2 linked regions of the Lepisosteus oculatus genome follow. The protein of the gene in region 2 purifies or fractionates together with the protein of the main gene of each other region. This does not show direct contact. Links are inferred from orthologs where the notes say so. Each region holds a gene or a part of one and is shown on either strand. Other genes may lie near its edges.

Region 1 (9,636 bases), on a different chromosome or scaffold from region 2:
AAATGGAAAACAGCTCATGCTCAAAGGTACAGATGCTATTTCTCATTCTTAACATTTGTATTGTGACAAAAGTAACAATATTTCCTCCTCAACTTAACTGTTTTTGCGTTTTCTCTGTGGCACTTATTTTAACTTCAGTACCACAATTTCAAACATGAAAGCAGCAGAGAGCTGGTATATAATTTTTCAGCTAATTAGTATTTCAGCTGCTCTTCATTGTCACAGCCAAAGCTTTGGGTCGACCAGGTATCAAAATACTTATAAGGCCACAAGGTTGAAGTCTCTGGGGAATAGATCTGAGCTGCTGAAGAACAGCAAGATCGGAGCACAAAACTAGGAAAACTCAGGTTCCCCAAATTTTGTTAAAAGCATGAAAAAATCCAAAACGATCTACACTCAAAGATGTACAATTAAAGATGTCAGAGTCAGCAAAAATATTTCGCTACTCACTTGCAGCAGATTTTTCTCAAACGTCAGTACTTCACAGTTACAGTAAAATACGAACAGTCTAATGTTACAGGTCACAATTACCCTGATTCAATTTCACCAGAAAGCTCTTCACAGCTCGTCTGCCGAGAAAGAGCAGGCATCTCTCCGACAGGACTGGGGACCTGACCCCGATCACGAGCTTGTTTTTCGGATGACTGCACCAGACCTGACTCCAAATCAGAGGAGTGGCTATGAGATAGTCTTCTCCAGTGAACCAAACAAATGACTGCTTTCAGAGAACTAGAAACAAACTACAGCCCTGCGCTGTACCATTTTTCCTGTTGCTGTATTTTGTGTAGTTGTATGCATTTATCACAATTGCGTCTTTGTGCCCCAGTTCACAACAACTCCTGTAGACACAACCAGAGAATGCAGAGGAAGTGCTGACAAATTCCTCTCGACAGGGACTCCTGACCCCTTCATGTTCTTGATGTGGTACAATCTCTGCAGCGCATTGCAGCGAGTCAGGGAGAGGTGTGTCCTTCACCACTGACACGGACACACCTGTTGTAAGAGCCCCTGAAGCCCTAGGGCTCAGGATGCCATCAGGAGCACAGAGAAACTCCTAGCTGACTGATCAGTGAGAGTCGCTCGGTGACATGACTCGGGATCACACTCAGGAACACAATATTTCCTGAAAATATCCCTCAGATATGCTTGACAGTTTTTAACAGACAAACTGCAAAGATTCCTTGTGAGCTTACCAAAGGGGTATTGAACGGTTCAGTCCCTTATATGCCATCACAATTTGTCCTAAGATGATCTAAATACTAGAATCACAATAATGTCACCCATACCAATTCATTCACAATGCAAGGAAATTCTCTCACACAAAGTATACCTTGGCAGAAGGATACAAAGTCCCAGCCTATGTGCAACAATGTTGTTTTCATGGAACTTAAAAGTCCAGTTTGTGTTACTTTTAAGTAACAAAGACATTACTGACTGACAATCTGGCAGCATGGGTGCCCAACTGTTTAAAGAGGACTGTGCCAGTGAACTAACTGTGGCACTCACAATGGCAAACTTAAAGTGCAAATTGAAAACTCTATGGGAACAAGCCCACACGGCAACCAACAGTTACACAAACACAATACACAGCCTATATTTTTAAACATTTAGCTAATCCTGACAAACGTTCAAAGTTTCCATTCTGAATAGGTATCACACAATAGAAGGCGAATAAATGTTGCCAAGTGAGGTAAACGGTTAATTTGTGCTGTAAAGCAACCAATTATCTTCAGGATAATTAGAAAAGCGTCACATTAGGCAGGGCCCAACGTTTGGACAACACACTGGACCTTAGTGCATCACAGCTTTTCTCTGACGTTGCACCTGTAGTGCTGAGGTTTATCAACTCACAGCAAGCCATTTCCAGTGGTCTTTATCTCCAAAATAACTTTACGTTCTACTATCAGAAAGTGTGTGCCAGGTAGCAATTAAAATGAACGAGTCTGAGAGAAATAGCCATTCCCAGGCCAGGCTTGTGCTCGTCTCGCAAGCGGCACAGCAGTACAGACTCCCAGGAGCAGGCAAGTCCCTCGGCCCGAGGAAAACACTGCAAACCCTCGAGCTCCGTCCAAAAGGAGGGGGAAAAGAAATCAGCACCGTTTACGCACGCAAGCAGAGCGAAGCCGAGATCTTCTTACCAAAATAATCAGCCTTCGGCTGGGCCTCCATCTCCTCCTCCAGACGCGTCGCCAGGGCTTCCAGTTTGATTTCGGCTGTGGAGGGGCCCCGCTCCGGCGGCGCGCGGAGGGTCTGGCAGGGCAGCCGGACCGCCCTGGGGGGGCCCGGGTTGTGCTCGGGGGAGGCCAGCGGTCCGTCGGGGGCCGGGGGGACGGGCACAGCGGTGGCCAGCCGGCGGGTGGGGGCCGGCTCCTGGGCCGAGCCCGAGCCGGGGGCCCCGGCGGAGGCCGGCGTCTGAGGGAGGGGCTCTTCGGGAGGCACGGGGGCCATCCGGGGGGGCAGCGGGCAGGCCTGGCCCGCGGGGCCCGCCTGGCACGGGGCGGCTGGGGTCCGGTGAAGCCCGTTCTGCTGCAGGTCCCCGGGACAGGGCCTGGAGGCAGGGCCCGGGGCGCCGGGGTCGGGGTGGGCTCGGAAGGGGCCCGGCGGGGCGGGGGCCGGGAACCCTGTGGGCCCCACGAGGGGCCTCACCCACTCCGGGGATGGGGGCCGGGGTGACGGGGAGGAGAAGGACGACGACCTCTGGGGGGGCGGCCCCGCCCGGGCCCGGCTGAAGGCCGACCCCGGAGACGGCAGCGTGGGAGACAGGGCGCTGGAGAACGAGCCCGACCTCTGCCCGGCGGGCCTCGGGTCGCAGGGGGCAGCCGGCCGCTGGGGCTGCTGCTGGCTGCCAGGAACACAACCTGCCCCGGGGCCACGAAGGGCTCCCTGGGGCGTATCCTGAGGGGTCCCCCAAGCTGCTGGGGGGCTGGCAGGGTGACCGCCCTGGGCAGGCTGAGGGACTGGGCTGAAGGAGGCGCCGGGGCTCACTGGACAGGACGCGGGGGGAGCGGGCTGCCCCAGGCTCTCTCTGTAGCAAGTGCTGCTGTAGCCCGGTGTCCTGCCTTCGGGCGCGTCGTGGTGGGGGCTTCGCGGCTGCTTCTGCCCCTCGGGGGACAGACCAGAGCCCGGCATGGGCCCCGATAATATAGGAGGTTTGCCCGCCGCTTCTCCGGTCTGCCTGAAGTTACTGATGGGCGGCCTGTCTCGGGTGTAAAACGCGTTGTCGGAAGCCCTGCTCGGCACATCGCCGGCGCCTCCGTTGGCCCCGGCTAGCTTACTCGCCATCTCCTCTTGCTGTTTCTGCATGTGGATTTTGGTCATTTTGGAGGCGAAAACTTTCCTCGTCTCTTCGAAGTCCGGGTTGTTGCCCGAGTCCCTTTTCGTCCTGAACAGCCCGTCTTTCGACGCTTCGTACATGTTGAGGTCCTCGATAAATTTACTCGCCTCCAGCCCCAGATCATCGTATTTATCCATTTTTGGAATAGACGCGGCTGTCTCGTAATCAAACGTCAGGTTGTATTAATCGGCTGCTAAAAGGCGAGGGTGTACAAAAGCCGTCTCCAAGCGCAGCTAACTTGGCTCATGACTGAGCACGCCACTTCATAGCACAGTTAATCGCTGTATCAGAAACGCGACATCAGAGATTCAGAGTGAACCCGGTGAAAGAGAAGAATTCAGAAATGCCCGATACCTTTTCTTGCGCCACCTTGATCCTGTCCCGGCGTGTTCTCAAATCCTCCACATAATGTCAAAGAGTCGGCAAAATGTCACACTTCCAGATTATCCGCGTGGTAGTGGGGGGGAGAGTGCAGAAACAAAAGGCACAGACGTGGACTTGGACTCATGCAACGTTTTACACAAACGTCTCCTGTGATTTGCAGCACCGCACAACCCAAGTGCTGGAGGTGGTGGTGCGCTATTCCGCTCGCCTTGCCCGGCCAGCTCCGCTCTCGGCAGGATGCTGTCGGGCTCCAGAGGGCTGGTGATCTAGGCTGGACCCTGTTCCCCCAGTTTACCAAACCTCCTGCTATGGCGCTCAACGCGGAAGCGGCAGCCTCCGAAAAGTTTCTCCGAAGTTTGCAGGCAGGCAGGCGGCGAAGGAGTCCCCTTCTGCGGCGCAGCTCCGGCGCACAGTGAACTCCAGCCAAGCGGCTGCGAGACGCGCTAGCGGAAAATATTTCGGGCAGACACAGGAGGGACAAAAAGGAGAATGTAGACCATTGGACGGCGAGCACACACACTGCAGGCTCTGAGGTAGCATTTAAAGGTACAGGCGGCATTTAACTTTGGCCCGGGAGCCGGAGAACTGCAGCGTGCGAGGCCAGTCCTGAATGAAACTCGTGTTGTGCGGTGTGCAGTCAGCTCGGGCCCACAAACCTGCCGCCATGTCGAACAAGTAACATCATGGATAATTACAAGATAATGGCAATCGATATTATTGTTCGGCGTGTAAGCTTCTGGGGACTTGAAGTACTTAAATATCGGCGCCAGGGTAAACTTGTACCAAGCTCCTACAACCATCTGGATATAAAAAAAATAACCTCGTGTTCTCAACCTTTATTGCTAAAATAATACAATTCATCTATAGAGTGAATTTCATCCTGAGGGATTCCATTAAAAATACACCCTGAAGATTATTGGGTTTACTAGACTAGACTTTCCTCCTCTGATAATATGCCCTGCTTAAGGCAAATGTAATTTAATTCCATTACTCTGTGCGGGATATTGCTTTAAGGGCTCCACAATACTACATGATAACACTTCAAATATTGACACCAAGCGCTGCCTCTTATCAGTCATCATATCCTGTGCCTGTGTTTGTTTTATTCTGCTCCATCGGACTCGGATTGTAATGAACAGGAATTATAAACATTTCCGTAACCTTGGCTTTTGTAGTGTTTGCCATTCCTCATAGCTTGGCATTATGTGCAAAATGTAAAAAGTCCAGCAAAGTCAAACTCATTAACGGCTTTATTTATGGTGACTCTACTATATAATCCAACTGTATCTTGAATATAGTATAATTTAATTCAGTCACATGCCTTATCTTGAAGCTCTACTAAGAGAGTCCCCTTTTATTTTTTTATTCTACTATTAATGTTGAGCAGAAACTAAACTCTTTTTAGTGTAAAGTACAAAAAAACTGTCGTCACTGAATTCTTAGCTATAAACATTGTCTCTCGGATAAATGTCTTACAAAAGCCTTGCCTTTTCAGAACACCGAATCACACTGTACGGAATATAGTTCAAAATACTCAGGGAAGGTTACAGTGTGTTTATAGAAAATGATGGATTATTGAGAGGCACTGATACATTGAGTACCGGTTAAATTTGTGCACGCCTTTGTTGCTTTGTTATAGAAAAATGATATTGAAAACGGCTTTGGTCATATTGCTTATGAGATTCACATTCCTGTTCCGGGAAATCTGACATCTTTTAAGCAGATCTGAGATGCATCCTCCTGATAAAGTAAAGTTGCTGACACCCTTACGCTCTTTTGCCGATTCAAACTCTTACTTATTTGTACAAAAAAAACACCGTTTTCTTAGCACACATTCGCCGATTTAACCTCCAGTATCTGTCGAGAGAATTCTTCCCTTCTGATCATGTCCCATTTGGCTGAAATACAAATGTATCAACATTTATAAAGTGAATTATTGTGATTAAAACATGAATGCTAAAAACAGAAAACATTTATAGGAGCAGGAAGTGCCAGTACAAAAATGCGTAGGAAAACTAGCTCCATCGTAGGGTTGAGGGAAATGTTTCATAGTGGTACATTGAATCGTTCTTCTAATAGGTTATCAAAACCATACCCACAAAAACACAGACTTCACATCCACTACAGTGGTTTGAGACTAATTTTGCATGATTATTAGAATTTGGGTATATTAGCATCTGTTTCAGAAACATTGCACCGAAACTGGAGTTATTCCCTAAACTTTTTTCAGCTTTTAGAAGATAGTTCAGCAGCGGCGCAGTCTTTATAACAACTTTGTTTTATAGATGTTTGAGGAAAAACACAATAGTACCTGTCGTGATGTAAACGATTCCTCCACATTACTGATCTGATTCAACCAATTTGGATTGACAGCTTGTTGTAGTTTTGGGGCGGCAACTTGGGGAACGAAGCGTGAGTAACTATTAATGACTTGAAGTATTCGGGTGACTTTCGGGGTACGCTGGGTTTGATTTTGATGCCAGAACTTACTCTCCAGAAATAAAGTCACAAGAACTTCAGGTTCCAAAGCGTAGACGGAACCTGGGGTTAAAGTCTTGCTTAAGTTGGCTAATTGTAAGTTTATACATCAAGGTTATTAACCTACTGAAAATAGCAGAATTCGGTCATTACGTTTAAGGAAGGAGGATGCACTATCGCGTCACACCTTGATTGAAATAAAAACACCAGGTTCTGACTACAACAGGACGCCTGTGTTACTGTGCTAACATGATGTCACGCCTTCCTAACTTCTGTGGAACATAAATATGCTTTGATACGCCCACTGGTAAAATAAATATCACTGCTGTTTCCATGCAGACATGTGGCCCCCTCTTACTCCAGACAAAAGGGCAGTCCCTCGTGAGTCCATGCAATTTGTTTTTGTCAAGGACTTGAGTACCTGAACAGGTATCACTGCCTCTTATTCTCACTAGAACGTGAAAACCTAAGTCAAACAACGGTATGTCAACAACGTGGTTTACATGTGTCTGGACGCTTTGCAGTAGCGTTTCCTTTATTTCCGCTGTTTGAACACGAAATGAACAGAAACGTAAAGCGTAATAAGAGGCAGAGTAAAATCAAGAGATGGAGGAACGACAAGACCTCTCACTTCACACACAGCTCGTTCAGGTAAAATACTGCAGCTTCGAAATTATTCTTGCACGTTGACGTGCATCTGCCACATACCTCATGTAGTTGGTGCTTCACTGTAGGGCGCAGTACTTATTTAGGGTGATTTGAGAACACTCCCTACTGGAAGAACTGGTCTCATGCTTTCAATACTTTCTAGAGATCTTGTATTGATCATTCTTTGACTGAACCTGTTGCTGGAGAAAACCGAAAAAAGCTGTTTCTTTCCACGTGATCACTAGGAAATGGTAGAACGAGGGTACCAGTGTTTTTTAAAATCATGTATCACACTGCCTACGTGTAGTATAAACAGGAGTGCGATGCGGAGCAGAGAGCAAGCAACAGAGGCAGTGTTTCTGAGTGCGAAAGCATAACAGGAAAGAATGAGTGGCTGCAGTGTCTAATAATAAACACTGCATGTGTGTAACAGTTTCCCCAGAATGCTGATTGTAAAACAATGAAGCTTTATTGTGCAATCTTACCATCACAAATAGCCAGGGATGACAAGTTACTTAATATCCAGTCTCTGCTATATAATAGTCAAATTGTGAAACGGGGGCAATATACCAAAATCTTCTAACTAGAGTACCCCACCCAGCTCATGAAAGACTTCTCTCTGTTAAAATTGCTTTGCTTTTCCACCAAATTACAACTTGAACGCGGCAATTTTCATCAGACCCAGTGCATCACAAAACGTAAACTTGGAAAACGAGCGTCGTTCTTGTTGTCTTGGAGATAGCTCTTAAAGTGATAATTAAACCTTCAGTGTAAAGCCCCAGTGTCAAATCCAATTTGACTCAAAGGGGCAGTTTATTCTGGCAGAGGGCAGCAGTCACATACTCAGAAGTTGGCTAAAGCTGCTTAAGTTTGTATTTCTGAAAGTAATGCATTTTGGACGTTTCTTTTAGAAAATAAGGGTGGGTGTGTAGCACAGGCAAACATATGACAGAGCAAACCATCATGATATCGTGCCCACTTTTTTTAGTCTTGTCTACCCTTCCTTTTCTCATGCACATTCTGAAGCAAATGCATATCACTGGCCTGATCTTTACAGAGCGGGTCCTGGTCAGTACTGGGATGGGAGACCACCCTGTTACTGTTTCAAGAGACCAGTAGGTCTCTTGGACCACCAGTACTGGTGGACCAGTAGGTGGTAATTTAAAAATATACATATTTCAGCACAAGTGAACTGGATTCCTTGCCTGGCCTGAGTTTTCTGATGAAGAGCTCTGGTGCACTATGAATCTCCTGCACACAATGAGCTGGGAGAAAGAAGAAGGGCAATTTCTGTTGAGAAATAAAGATAAACACTGTATTTGAGGGGATCTGTGTTAATTATTAAGTTTTCCTTTATTTTGCATAACCGTGCACTCAACACCCGCAGCACAAAGTAAAAATCTAAATTACTGTTTATCAAAGAAACCCCGTAACTTAGCATCAACCAAATTACTACACACTGCTTAGAAAGCCTGGAGTTGGCGACTGTAAGCTGAGTGGTTCTGATTAAAAAGAACACACACCCAAGGCGTTTCAGGCAAGCTGTTGCAAATCAATAGCACGCTGAAGTAATGACAGAATTTCAAGGCTGAACAGTCAGCTGACTCTAAATAAACGCAAAATACAATTAGTAATTTAACAGCGAGGACAGATTATTCTACCCAGCTTAGGGATGCCTCATTGCAAATATGATGCCCTGTACCTTGTTATTGACATTCTTCAGTCTCTATATGAATCAGACTTGCCCCGGAGGTGCATTCTGCTCCAGCCTTAATAGGTATAATCAGATGATTATTTACAGCAAGCCATGGAGTTAGGTTTAAAGCTATATAGAATGGCATGCATGCATTTTCTGAAATGCACTCTGCTGTTTATATCCTTGCATTATAATTGCAATCTGCCCACATTTCAGTATTATGCTCACGGCAATTTAAATACAGGAAAAAAAAAGGGAAGCTATACAGTCAAATGTTCTCAGAACAGCAGGCCATTTTAAACTGCACAAAAACCAAAATGAGAAATTTTAATACAGAGTGCAGGTTAAAGAGAGCTCACATATGCCCTGGCTTTTAAATGAAGAATCGTAAGTTAAAGAAAAGGAGTGTGTCAAAGTTCTTCTAATTCTCCGCAATCTACTGACTGGATGAGGTACTGAGATTCATACAACAATCACCGGCTTGATCTTGTTATAAATCGAGTGATGACCAAAATACAGAAATGGGCAGAACGGAAGCAGACAGCCAGTTTAGTCACTGCTGAATCCTTCATTTAGAATCGCCTATATAAAAACCTGGCAGGAACCACTGCATGTGCTATTGAGGTTTCTTTCAGTCTTCAGTGTACCTTTTTACAAAAATCTCTATTTCACGTGCGGTATTAAAAAAGCAGAGGATGAGGACACAGGAGGTTCATGCACTTAGGAAAGTTAACTTTAATGTTTTAGTAACTTAAAATTCTGAGATCTGATGGGAGTACAAGGTAGAAAAACCTCCAAATTCAATGACTCATCAGCATTGCTTAGATTTAAAATGTTCCCAGATCTGCTTCCATTTGACTGTCGGTTCCATAAAGTCACACGAGTACAGTACACAGCTGTGGTAGAATGACTCAGTTCTTAAAAGCAGCCAGGAGCCAAAACCTTCCCCAAGTGCGAAATTGCTTTTTCGGCAAACTTGGATCAAGACTGGAACAGAAGGAAAGTTTTGAAGGTTTTTTTTTTGTGGGTTTGCTTCAACTGAAAAAGCAGAGCCTAAAATCTCTTTAAATTTCTCCTTGAAATCTGTGAAATATTT
Region 2 (9,443 bases):
TCAAAGTAACCCGGACGCCTGCAGGACTAGGGCTGGTCAACGCTGATGTACAGATGATTCAAAACCTCACAGCTACTTTGAAAACAGAGTCGATTTTTGTTTGCCACGCCGTATGCAGCCTCGAGCTCAAAGGGTGTCTTCGTACTTTCTGAAGCAATTAATAACAGTCAAACTGGGCAGCCGAGACCTCCCCTCACACCCGTCCTGAGCGAGACCCCTGGCCACCCTCACATGACAAGACCCCGGCCGCCCCTGGAGCTGCTTCAGGAAACACACGGGGCTCTCGCACGCCTCGCGCCCCTGCCTCCTGCAAACCCTGCGGACCCCACCGAGCGTCTCCGCCCGCCTCCCACCGCCGGCGCCCCGCGAGTCAGGCGCCCGCGCCGCGCGGAGCGGCAGGCGAGGAAGAGGAGCCCCCCAGAGTCAGGAGAGAAGCCCCCCGCTGTGGTACCTGGTCGCACCCGGCGTTGACGAGCTCCTGCAGCATCTGCCGGTTGACCTCCGGGCCTGGCGAGGAGCCCGAGTCGTTGGCGAAGGGCAGTAGCGACCGCCGGATCTCGCGCAGGGCGGTCTGGTAGTTGCCGAACTTCTGGGGCGCGCGGGGGTGGTGCTGCTGCGGCGGCGGCCGGCCGCCCTCGGCGCCGCGGCCCCCCTGCAGCGCCTGGCTCACCAGCTTGGCCGGCTGCTTCAGGCCCTCCTTGATCTCCTGCAGGCGCTGCCGCGTGTTGCCCGCGTACGGGGTGGCGGGGAACGTCTTCGGCCTCATGGCCGCTCCCGCCCTCCCCCCGGCTCCTCTCCGCTTGGCCCGCGCCGGACGCTGCTCTCAGTCCTCCTCCCCGCCCCACAACATCAACGGACGGGCCGCCCAGAGCCCGCCCCGCCGCGCTGTCCGGACGCAGGCTTTAGTGGGGCCTCAGAGGACCGGGCTCCCCGCCGTCCTGCAGCCTGAGAGAGAAGGCGCCGTGCCCGCTGACCGCTCCATCCCCACGGGGCCTCTGGGAAGACAGACGGGGGGAGAAGCGTCAGCAGAGCCGCGCGCGACCGGGCCGAAGCAGGGCCAGGGCTGGACTGGCATCCCGTCCGGGGTGCACCGCTGCCTGCTGGGATAGGCTCCAGCTCCCCCGCCACCCCGAACTGGATAGAGGAAGTGGGATCAGCGGGGTGCCGTGCGCCATTTGACAGCCACACCAACAACTCTGACCCCCTTCCCTTTTCCTGTCTGCGCCCCCCCAACACACAGCGGGAGACAATGGGCATCTCTGCAGCTTTAGCGAAATGTCTATTCCCATGATCTGAACACACAAGATCCCCCAAAAATGCACATTTCCCCCCCCACAGGTAATAAACACCAGTTTTGTCAACATGTCTTCCTCTACCTTAACGGGCTAAATCTTAGCGGTGGCAGGACACGCAGTCATCTGAAACGGACACAGATTTCTTCTTCTTCTTCTGTGTAATACTGTCCGATTTGTTCGTATAGTCCTTTACGCGCAACGCCTACGTGTAAATGTTATACGTCTGCTGAAACTGCACACACTCTGGTTCTGTTAAGACTCTGAGGAGGCTGAAGGTCCACCTGATTAATACAGGCAGCATCGAGAAAGCCAGGGGCCTGGGTAGCCAACAGCTGTGCAAAAAAAACAGGCTCCCAATGACAGCAGTTAACAACAAACAACTCCACTCAAGACCCGAACGTGGAACCCAGACATACTGTATCCTGCTGACGGGCGCCGGGGGTGGACCCTTCGCTTGTCACGCGAAGTCTGTTCGTCAGCGGAGCTAACCGAGAGGCGAGACGCATCCGATTTTGTGAAAATCAACTCCCCTCCCCTCACGCTCGTTAGAGGTAAAAATCTCCAACTGCTTCATCTTGATCGCTAATGAAATCTCACGTGGACGAAGGCGGGAGCACGGGGTCACACCCAGGTGATGGCTACGTTATTTCAAAGACCCCAGAGCAGATAACAGCCTGGGCGGTCCACCCGTTGTCAGAGGTCCGCACCGACCCGGAGCCTGACCCGGCAGGACCGGGCGCTGGGCCCCGGGGACGGACCTGCCCCCCCACATACCAGCCGAGTCCTGCGGACCCTGTGGGAGGGTGACCCGAAGGCACAGGCTCCCCCAGGCTCTGCAGGGGAGCTCCACTGCCACTGCCCATGTCCCCAGAGGGACTGAGGGGACACCACTCCGATGGACAATAATAATTCATAGCTCCTCACACTTCTACAGCGCTTTTCTGGACTCTCCACTCAAAGCGCTTTACAGGTCATGGGGATCCCCTCCACCCCCACCAGTGTGCAGCCCCTCCTGGATGATGCACCAGTACGCTCCCCACACACCAGCTCTCAGTGGGGAGGAGAGCAGAGTGATGAAGCCAGTTCAGAGAGGGGGATTATTAGGAGGCCATGATTGGTAAAGGCCGGGGGAAATTTGGCCTGGACACCGGGGGGAGACATCCCTACTCTTTGTGAGAAACACTCTGGGACTTTTAATGACCACAGAGTCAGGACCTCAGTTTAACGTCTCACCCGAAGGACAGTGGCTTTTTACAGTACAGTGTCCCCATCACGATACTGGGGCATTAGGACCCACACAGACCGCAGGGTGAGCGCCCCCTGCTGGCCCCACTCACACCTCTTCCAGCAGCAGCCTTAGTTTTTCCCCGGAGTCTCCCATCCAGGTACTGGCCAGGCTCACACTGCTGGGCTCCAGTGGGGCTGCCAGCTGGGAGCTGCAGGGGGATGGAGCTGCTGGCCGCGCACGTTGTCACAGAGCCCCGGCAACACTAAAGCCGAGGGCCCGTCACGGACCGACTGCCCGGCCGCCGCCGGTCAGGTCTGCAGCCGTGGCCACACCCCATCACCCCTCCTGGGGGGGGAGGGATCTGGGGGACTCGGCAGCACCACCTGCACCGCCCTGCGAGACGCCGTGAGAGCCCCTTCTAACCCGCTGCTTCCCAGCACGCTTCTGCAGCAGCGCCTCCTGGACAGCTGTGTTGTTCCTACATTAGGTGCGCGATAAAACTACCTCATACTGCAGCGTGCTAACATTTTAAACACCCTAAAATGTCATTGGTAAGGAACATTCTGGATTTCTTCCATCTCCAGCATCATTTCCAGAAAAAAAAGGCGTGTTCTGTATAACGGAGAAAGAAAATAATATGCAACTTGTTTAAAAAGTTCGGAACGTGGGCAGGAGATCTTGACACGTCTTTATAATAAATATAAGACACACCTCTCCTGAAAACCATGCGGCTGCCTGCAGCTTACACTACCTCTAATGCGACTAAATTAAAAAAAAACCCTGATCAATCTGATAAATTACAGGGATGCTTCTGAAGTAAAACGCTGAGCTTTTATAGACGTCTATCGATACCTTTTTGCAATAAGTGCAATATCGCACAATAATGGAAAGGATAACGAACGCGGAGGTGTCCGGCCACCGCAGTCGAATTGAACCCGACTCTGCAGTTCAATCAACAACACAAACAGCGTGGCCGCTGGGAAGGACATGGACGCGACAACAATGTTTCACAACCTCCCAGTTCACAGTTCACACACAGTGGTGGGACGGTCAAGTTCATCTTTGTGCCTCTTAAAACAACACCCAGCTGTATCCTGTAACATCTGCTTTTCGAGAGACTTACACTCGGATACCGACCAGACTGTAAACGGGTTTTGAAGTCTGTCATACAGACGGCGGAGTTCATGAGAATCGAGAGACAGGGGCAGCGGGCGGCAGGCACGATATGTGCAGCAGCTCGCTGGGAAACACATGCAAGAGACGACGGTGCCCATTTAAACCGTGGTAACAGTGTCAGCTTTGTAGCAACCCGAAAAATGTTAAAAATGTACAAGACAGAAGCAGACGCTGCGCTGAACCCATCAACCGATACAGAGTATATACACGTCCACGGGCACCGACAGACGGGGAATTACACGATCTGCCCCCTCGTTTAATTTCTCTGCCAAGAAAAAAAAATCGGCACATTGAAAACGTTTTAGGCACTCAGCTCTGCTGCCGTTTTTCGGAACTTCGACTTGCATATGACAAAACATAATCATTACTGGCTGTGCTCTCTTCTCCCCACCTCCTTCTCGACAAAACGATGAAAACCCCTCCGACACCTTACCATCGTCTCACGGGCTCGTCTCGGTCCTTCGGAGCGCTGGCTGCCTCCCCAGCCCCTTCTGCAAGCCGCGTGTCTTTTATTTAGATGGCAGATCCCTAGTTAACGTCGTTCCCCCCTCCAAAAAAAAAAAAGTTAAGAAAAAAAACTTCACAGAGCCTGTTCGAGTTGGGGCTGAAAGTTTGCGATCTGGTCCTGATTGGAGTGACTGGAACGCAGGTCCGGAGAAGGAGCCCGACATTCCACCTTAGGGAGACTTTGAAGTTTCATCGGCCACCCCCCCCCTTCTATATATGTTGGCATGTGCGTGCGTGCGCGCCTTCAGTTGAAGACGAACGCCCCTACCCGCACCCCACATCGGCTGTCGAGAACAGAAATACATTTACGATTTTTAAAATTAAAAAAAAAATCATCGAACCGCCGAAAAAAAATCGAAAAGTTGCACCTTTCCCAGACGCGGGAGCATAGCAACCACTCGCAACAGCAAAACGCGTGCATTGTAAGAAAAAGTAACGGTAAACTCTCTAAAAACAAACAAACAAACAAACAAACAGAAATGCATCAGGAGAAGGGGAAAGTTACCTTATCTGCTGCTGCTGCTGCTATCGTGAACGGGGCTGTCCTTCAGCCACCCAGCTCAGCTCAGTGCCTGCGGCCGGGGCTCACGCCGGTATGAGGCTCCATTTTCTCCCTACAGTGGGCTGAATTAGGACGCTGTGCTCAGTTGGACACTTTCTGCATCGCTCGCATTCCAGGGGGAGCACGTGACGCCCCCGGATCACGTCAGCGGCCCGCGCGCTCGCGGACTGGGGGGCGCTTCTAGCGCTCGAGCGCGGCTTCGTGACCCAAGAAGAAAAAAAAAAACAAAACAACCAAAAACCCCACAGACGCGCAGGGCGCCCCGGGAAGCCAGGAAGCCGACTGGCAACACGCCCGAATGTGTGTCTTTCTGTTTTGTCACCCCCCCCCACACACACACACAAATCCCAGTGTTTAGGCTGAAGTCGTTATTGAGCCGCAAAGGAACAAGTTTTAGGTTCATTCCCGGCTGAAAAGAGAAGGAAGACAACACAACGTTTCGGCTGTTGAGCCTTCTTCGGGGGGTTATTCAGCCTGAGCAGATCTTAAAAATCAGTTGTTGGCTATAGAAATCGCGTCAGCTACAGATAACTAAACGTTCAGTTCATAGCTACAGGTGACTGTACATTTGGTTAAACGTACAAGGCCCCAGTAGCCAAAGTACAATTAAAACCCAGTCTTAGACGTAATAAATGAAGGAAAAACAAACATGCACTAGGAGCGGCAACCCCAAAAGTGAACGAGGGGCAGGTTGGTGAAGATCACCTCAAGACCCGCGTTAATTTCCTGCCATTTTAGCCAACATAACGCGTAAGAAGAAGCATCAATAACGCAGGACAGGATGAAACAGTCGCTAGGCTCCGGTTACTGAGGCTGGAGGGGTGCTTATTGTTTCAGATCTAAGCGGCCCAGAGCACTAAGGAGTGAAAATGTGCCGCTGGAAAAGCGTGTTAGAGTGCAAAGCAACCGACTAACATCGAGGGAAACCGACAAACGGCTTCCTTGTTTCAATGCTGTCATTGCGCTCTGGACAGTAAATCTAAGGACGAACCGTTTTGTATTGTTTTAAAACACGTCCAAACATCCACATAATTATCACGCATATTAATTCACGCACAGAGCGCTTTAAACACCATTGAGTTAACTCATCCAGATTAGATTTGAATAGCCTGGTCACCAGGACAGCCTCTTCTGAATCGGCTAGTTTGTGACAGCTTCTTCCAAGTGACAGTTTTGTTGTTTATAATTTCTTCCCACTGACCCTCTGTACCACAGTCCCCAGTGTCTCTCAGCTCCTTTTAATAGCGCTGCGATCCGGTTCGTCACGCGTTGCATGAGCAGATCTTGCTAGATGTACAGCTACAAGGAGAGCTGAGGAATTCAGTGTGACAGACGTGTTTGCGCCTGAATTACGTCGGATTATATCTCCTGGTAGTGATGCGGATCAGCTGGAAGACCGCGTTGTGTTAGAAAGTGAGCTATTATCTTTGTGACCCGTGGACCCGTTATGAGGTCCCACTGGGAAACACGACACAGGTTCGCAGACTCAGCCCGTCAGGAGTTACAGTCAAAGAGCCGCAGTACAGTCGGGGGGGGGGGGGGGTCTGACTGTAAATATGTTTCCTCCCTCTTTGTAAACCAGAGGTACAGTATGGAAAGGAAAAAAAAGCAGAGCAGATATTCTTTTCTTATCTCTCTACAGACCAGAGTGTCTCAGTGCATTAATAAAATTCAAAATGTTGAAGTACTGAATAAAACATAATAAATACCTCTATCAGTTCCACAGAGTGTTGAATTGCTTCATCTACGGATTGCTTAATATCATTTTTTTTTAATGAGTGACTCTTGGATGATCTCAGCCAGTAAAAACCTTCCGTTCAAAACTGAAGAGATGGACGTATTTTTCACAGAAGCAGGAAAGCGGACACCTACTGTAGCACACAAGCCCTAAGGAATGGCCTGGGCTGGAATATCTTGAAAGCACACATTGAAAGTCTCGACACAGGTAAAATAAACACAAGAACAGAATGGATACGGGCAAAAGGAGGCTTGTTTGGTTATTAAAAGCAAATTGACCTGGGAATCTTATTTAGCCTTCTCTTTAAAGAAGCAAAGTCAAATACACGCAACTACCAAAATAATGGAAACACCAACAATATGACATATTAATAACATCTTCAATGGTACATACTGTAATACAACTGCACTTTACAAAAAAGATTTAACAAGATAAGTAAAGATAAGGAAAAACTCTTGGGAAAAACTAAGGTTGCTGCTGGAAGAGGTGTTAGTGGGGCCAACAGGGGGCGCTCACCCTGTGGTCCATGTGGGTCTTAATGCCCCAGTATAGTCAAGGTCCTGACTCTCTGTGGTCATTAAAAATCCCAGGGCATTTCTCGAAAAGAGTAGGGGTGTAACCCCGGTGTCCTGGCCAAAATTTCCAATCGGCCCTTACCAATCATGGCCTCCTAATAATCCCTATCTATGAATTGGCTACATTACTCTGCTCTCCTCCCCACTGATAGCTGGTGTGTGGTGAGTGTTCTGGCGCACTATGGCTGCTGTCGCATCATCCAGGTGGGGCTGCACACTGGTGGTGGTGGAGGGGATCCCCATTACCTGTAAAGCACTTTGAGTGGAGTGTCCAGAAAAGCGCTATATAAGTGTAAGCAATTATTATTATTATTATTATTATTATTATTATTGTTATTATTATATAAGGTCCGCACAGCTGTCATGTTCTTACTGTTAGAAATAATCACCTTTAACCTAAGCACTTCAGAATAAAAAGGGTGTGCGCCTATTTTAGTCATTATACGATACGGAGAAGTCGCATTTTGATTGGCTCCATAGCCTTTAAGCTCATTCGCGGGCTACGTATCCTGTTACGTCATCACGACCCGTGGGTTGAACCGGAAGTTATACTTGTGTTTGTACGGGGTCGGCGTGAAGACGCGGGGGCGCTTTCTGGGAAAATGGCTGTTGAATCTCGAGTCACTCAGGAAGAAATCAAGAAAGAACCCGAAAAGCCCGTCGATAGAGAAAAGGTGAGTTGTGTTAAGCCGTTTTTGTCTATCGAAGATGCGCACGCACGGTTTGAGTGGTGCCTTGTATTTTGTTTTCTGGAAATGTGTGGAACGGTGTTGTGTTGGTCTCCATTAAACGCTTCAGTAGGTATGTGCTGTGTAAAACTGTGTTTTCATTTCGTGTTTCTTCGCATTTTGGGTAGTTGTACAGTGTCTCCCTCAAAGACAGTGAGACTTATTGAGTTTTCAGTTAAAACGATTTACTTTCTCTTCCTAATTGCTGCCAAACGTGTGCGATGCGAAGCAATACGAGTTGAGAAAACGGCGATAAAGTATATGTTTTTCTCACTTTCTTTCCTTAGTGAGCAAAATATACTTAAAGGTCATTTATTTACTTACAACGCGATGAATGTAGATGTAGCTAGCAAGTTTGTAATGCATCTTTTGTGAAACACGATGGTGAGCAGATACCACGCTTGAGACCACCTATCGGTTTCCCGCAACTGAAAAAAGCTAGGTACTTATTTTTGTTGTTTTGTTTGCAGACTTGCCCGCTGCTGCTGCGGGTGTTCACCACGAACAACGGCAGACACCACAGAATGGACGAGTTCGCCAGGGGAAACGTGCCCTCCAGCGAGCTGCAAATCTATACCTGGTAGGTCTGATGACACTTCACACCACGGGGCTCCCTGCTTGGGCCGGGGGAGCCCCACCCCAGCAAGTTGTTTTATAGGTCATCATAAAATAAGCAGTTTCTGAAGATATGGACCAATTCCACTGTAACCACCCCTGGAGCAGCTGGGGTTAAGGGCCTTGCTCGGGGGCCCAACGGAGTAGGATTCCTCTGCCGGCTGCGGGATTTGAACCAGCAACCTTCCAGCCACAGGCACAGATCCTGAGCCATAGAGCCACTGCACCGTTAAATTAATTTAGAGATATTTTAGGACTAAAATCTATGTACTTCTCAGATTTCAGGGATTAGTTATATTAATGATATCCTTACACCTATATAGCTCTTTTCTGGACACTGTACTCAGTGCTTTGCAGGTAATGGGGATCCCCTCCACCACCACATGGATGATGTGGTGGCAGCCAGAGTGCTCCAGGCTGCTCCCCACACACCAGCTCTCAGTAGGGAGGAGAGCAGAGTGATGAGGCTTATTGGGAAGCCATGACTGGTAAAGACCAGGGGGAAATTTGATCAAGACATTGTGGTAACACCCCTACTCTTTTTGAGAAACACCCTTGGATTTTAAATGACCACGGAGAGTCAGGACCTCGGTTTATTGTCTCATCCGAAAGACGGTGCCCATTTACAGTTTGGTGTCCCCGTCACAGACCCACACAGAACGCAGGGTGAGCGCCCCCTACTAACACCTCTTCAGCAGCAACCTGAGCTTTCCCAGGAGGTCTCGCATCCAGGTATTCGCCAGGCTCACACCTGCTGAGCTCCACTGGGTTGCCAGCTGTGAGTTAAAGGGTGATAGAGCTGCTGGGTCTCTGTTAATTGAACAGATTACTTGCTTGGTCAGTGTTGTCTTACAGTCTTTAAAAAGAAGTTGAGCAGTACTGGGGCTCTCCAGGACCAGCTGGACAGACTAACTGACCAGAAGAACAAAGCTGTTCACCTCTGCAGGTGCCCAGACCTGTTGCAGAGCCCTGATCCGAGAGACGTGGGCCCTGCGCTATCAACACGCGCCATTGGATAT

What was found. The genes of interacting proteins can lie anywhere in the genome.
Region 1: the proteins of lats2 (region 2) and Wilms tumor protein 1-interacting protein purify together in Homo sapiens (affinity purification with mass spectrometry; 3 studies listed by BioGRID and IntAct, with this or other methods). This does not show direct contact. The link is inferred for Lepisosteus oculatus from reciprocal best matches to the Homo sapiens genes LATS2 and LIMD1.

Annotation. Positions count from the first base shown.
Region 1 is NC_090705.1:41,501,237-41,510,872, reverse strand, and holds the start of Wilms tumor protein 1-interacting protein, read right to left. Parts: upstream 4,345-9,636; 5' UTR 3,472-4,344; coding exon 2,139-3,471; intron 1-2,138. UniProt on the Homo sapiens protein: Adapter or scaffold protein which participates in the assembly of numerous protein complexes and is involved in several cellular processes such as cell fate determination, cytoskeletal organization, repression of gene transcription, cell-cell adhesion, cell differentiation, proliferation and migration.
Region 2 is NC_090710.1:31,920,819-31,930,261, forward strand, and holds the start of lats2 (serine/threonine-protein kinase LATS2), read right to left. Parts: upstream 4,408-9,443; 5' UTR 4,133-4,407; intron 996-4,132; 5' UTR 767-995; coding exon 452-766; intron 1-451. Other genes in the region: histone deacetylase complex subunit SAP18, read left to right, coding at 7,684-7,755, 8,280-8,389. UniProt on the Homo sapiens protein: Negative regulator of YAP1 in the Hippo signaling pathway that plays a pivotal role in organ size control and tumor suppression by restricting proliferation and promoting apoptosis.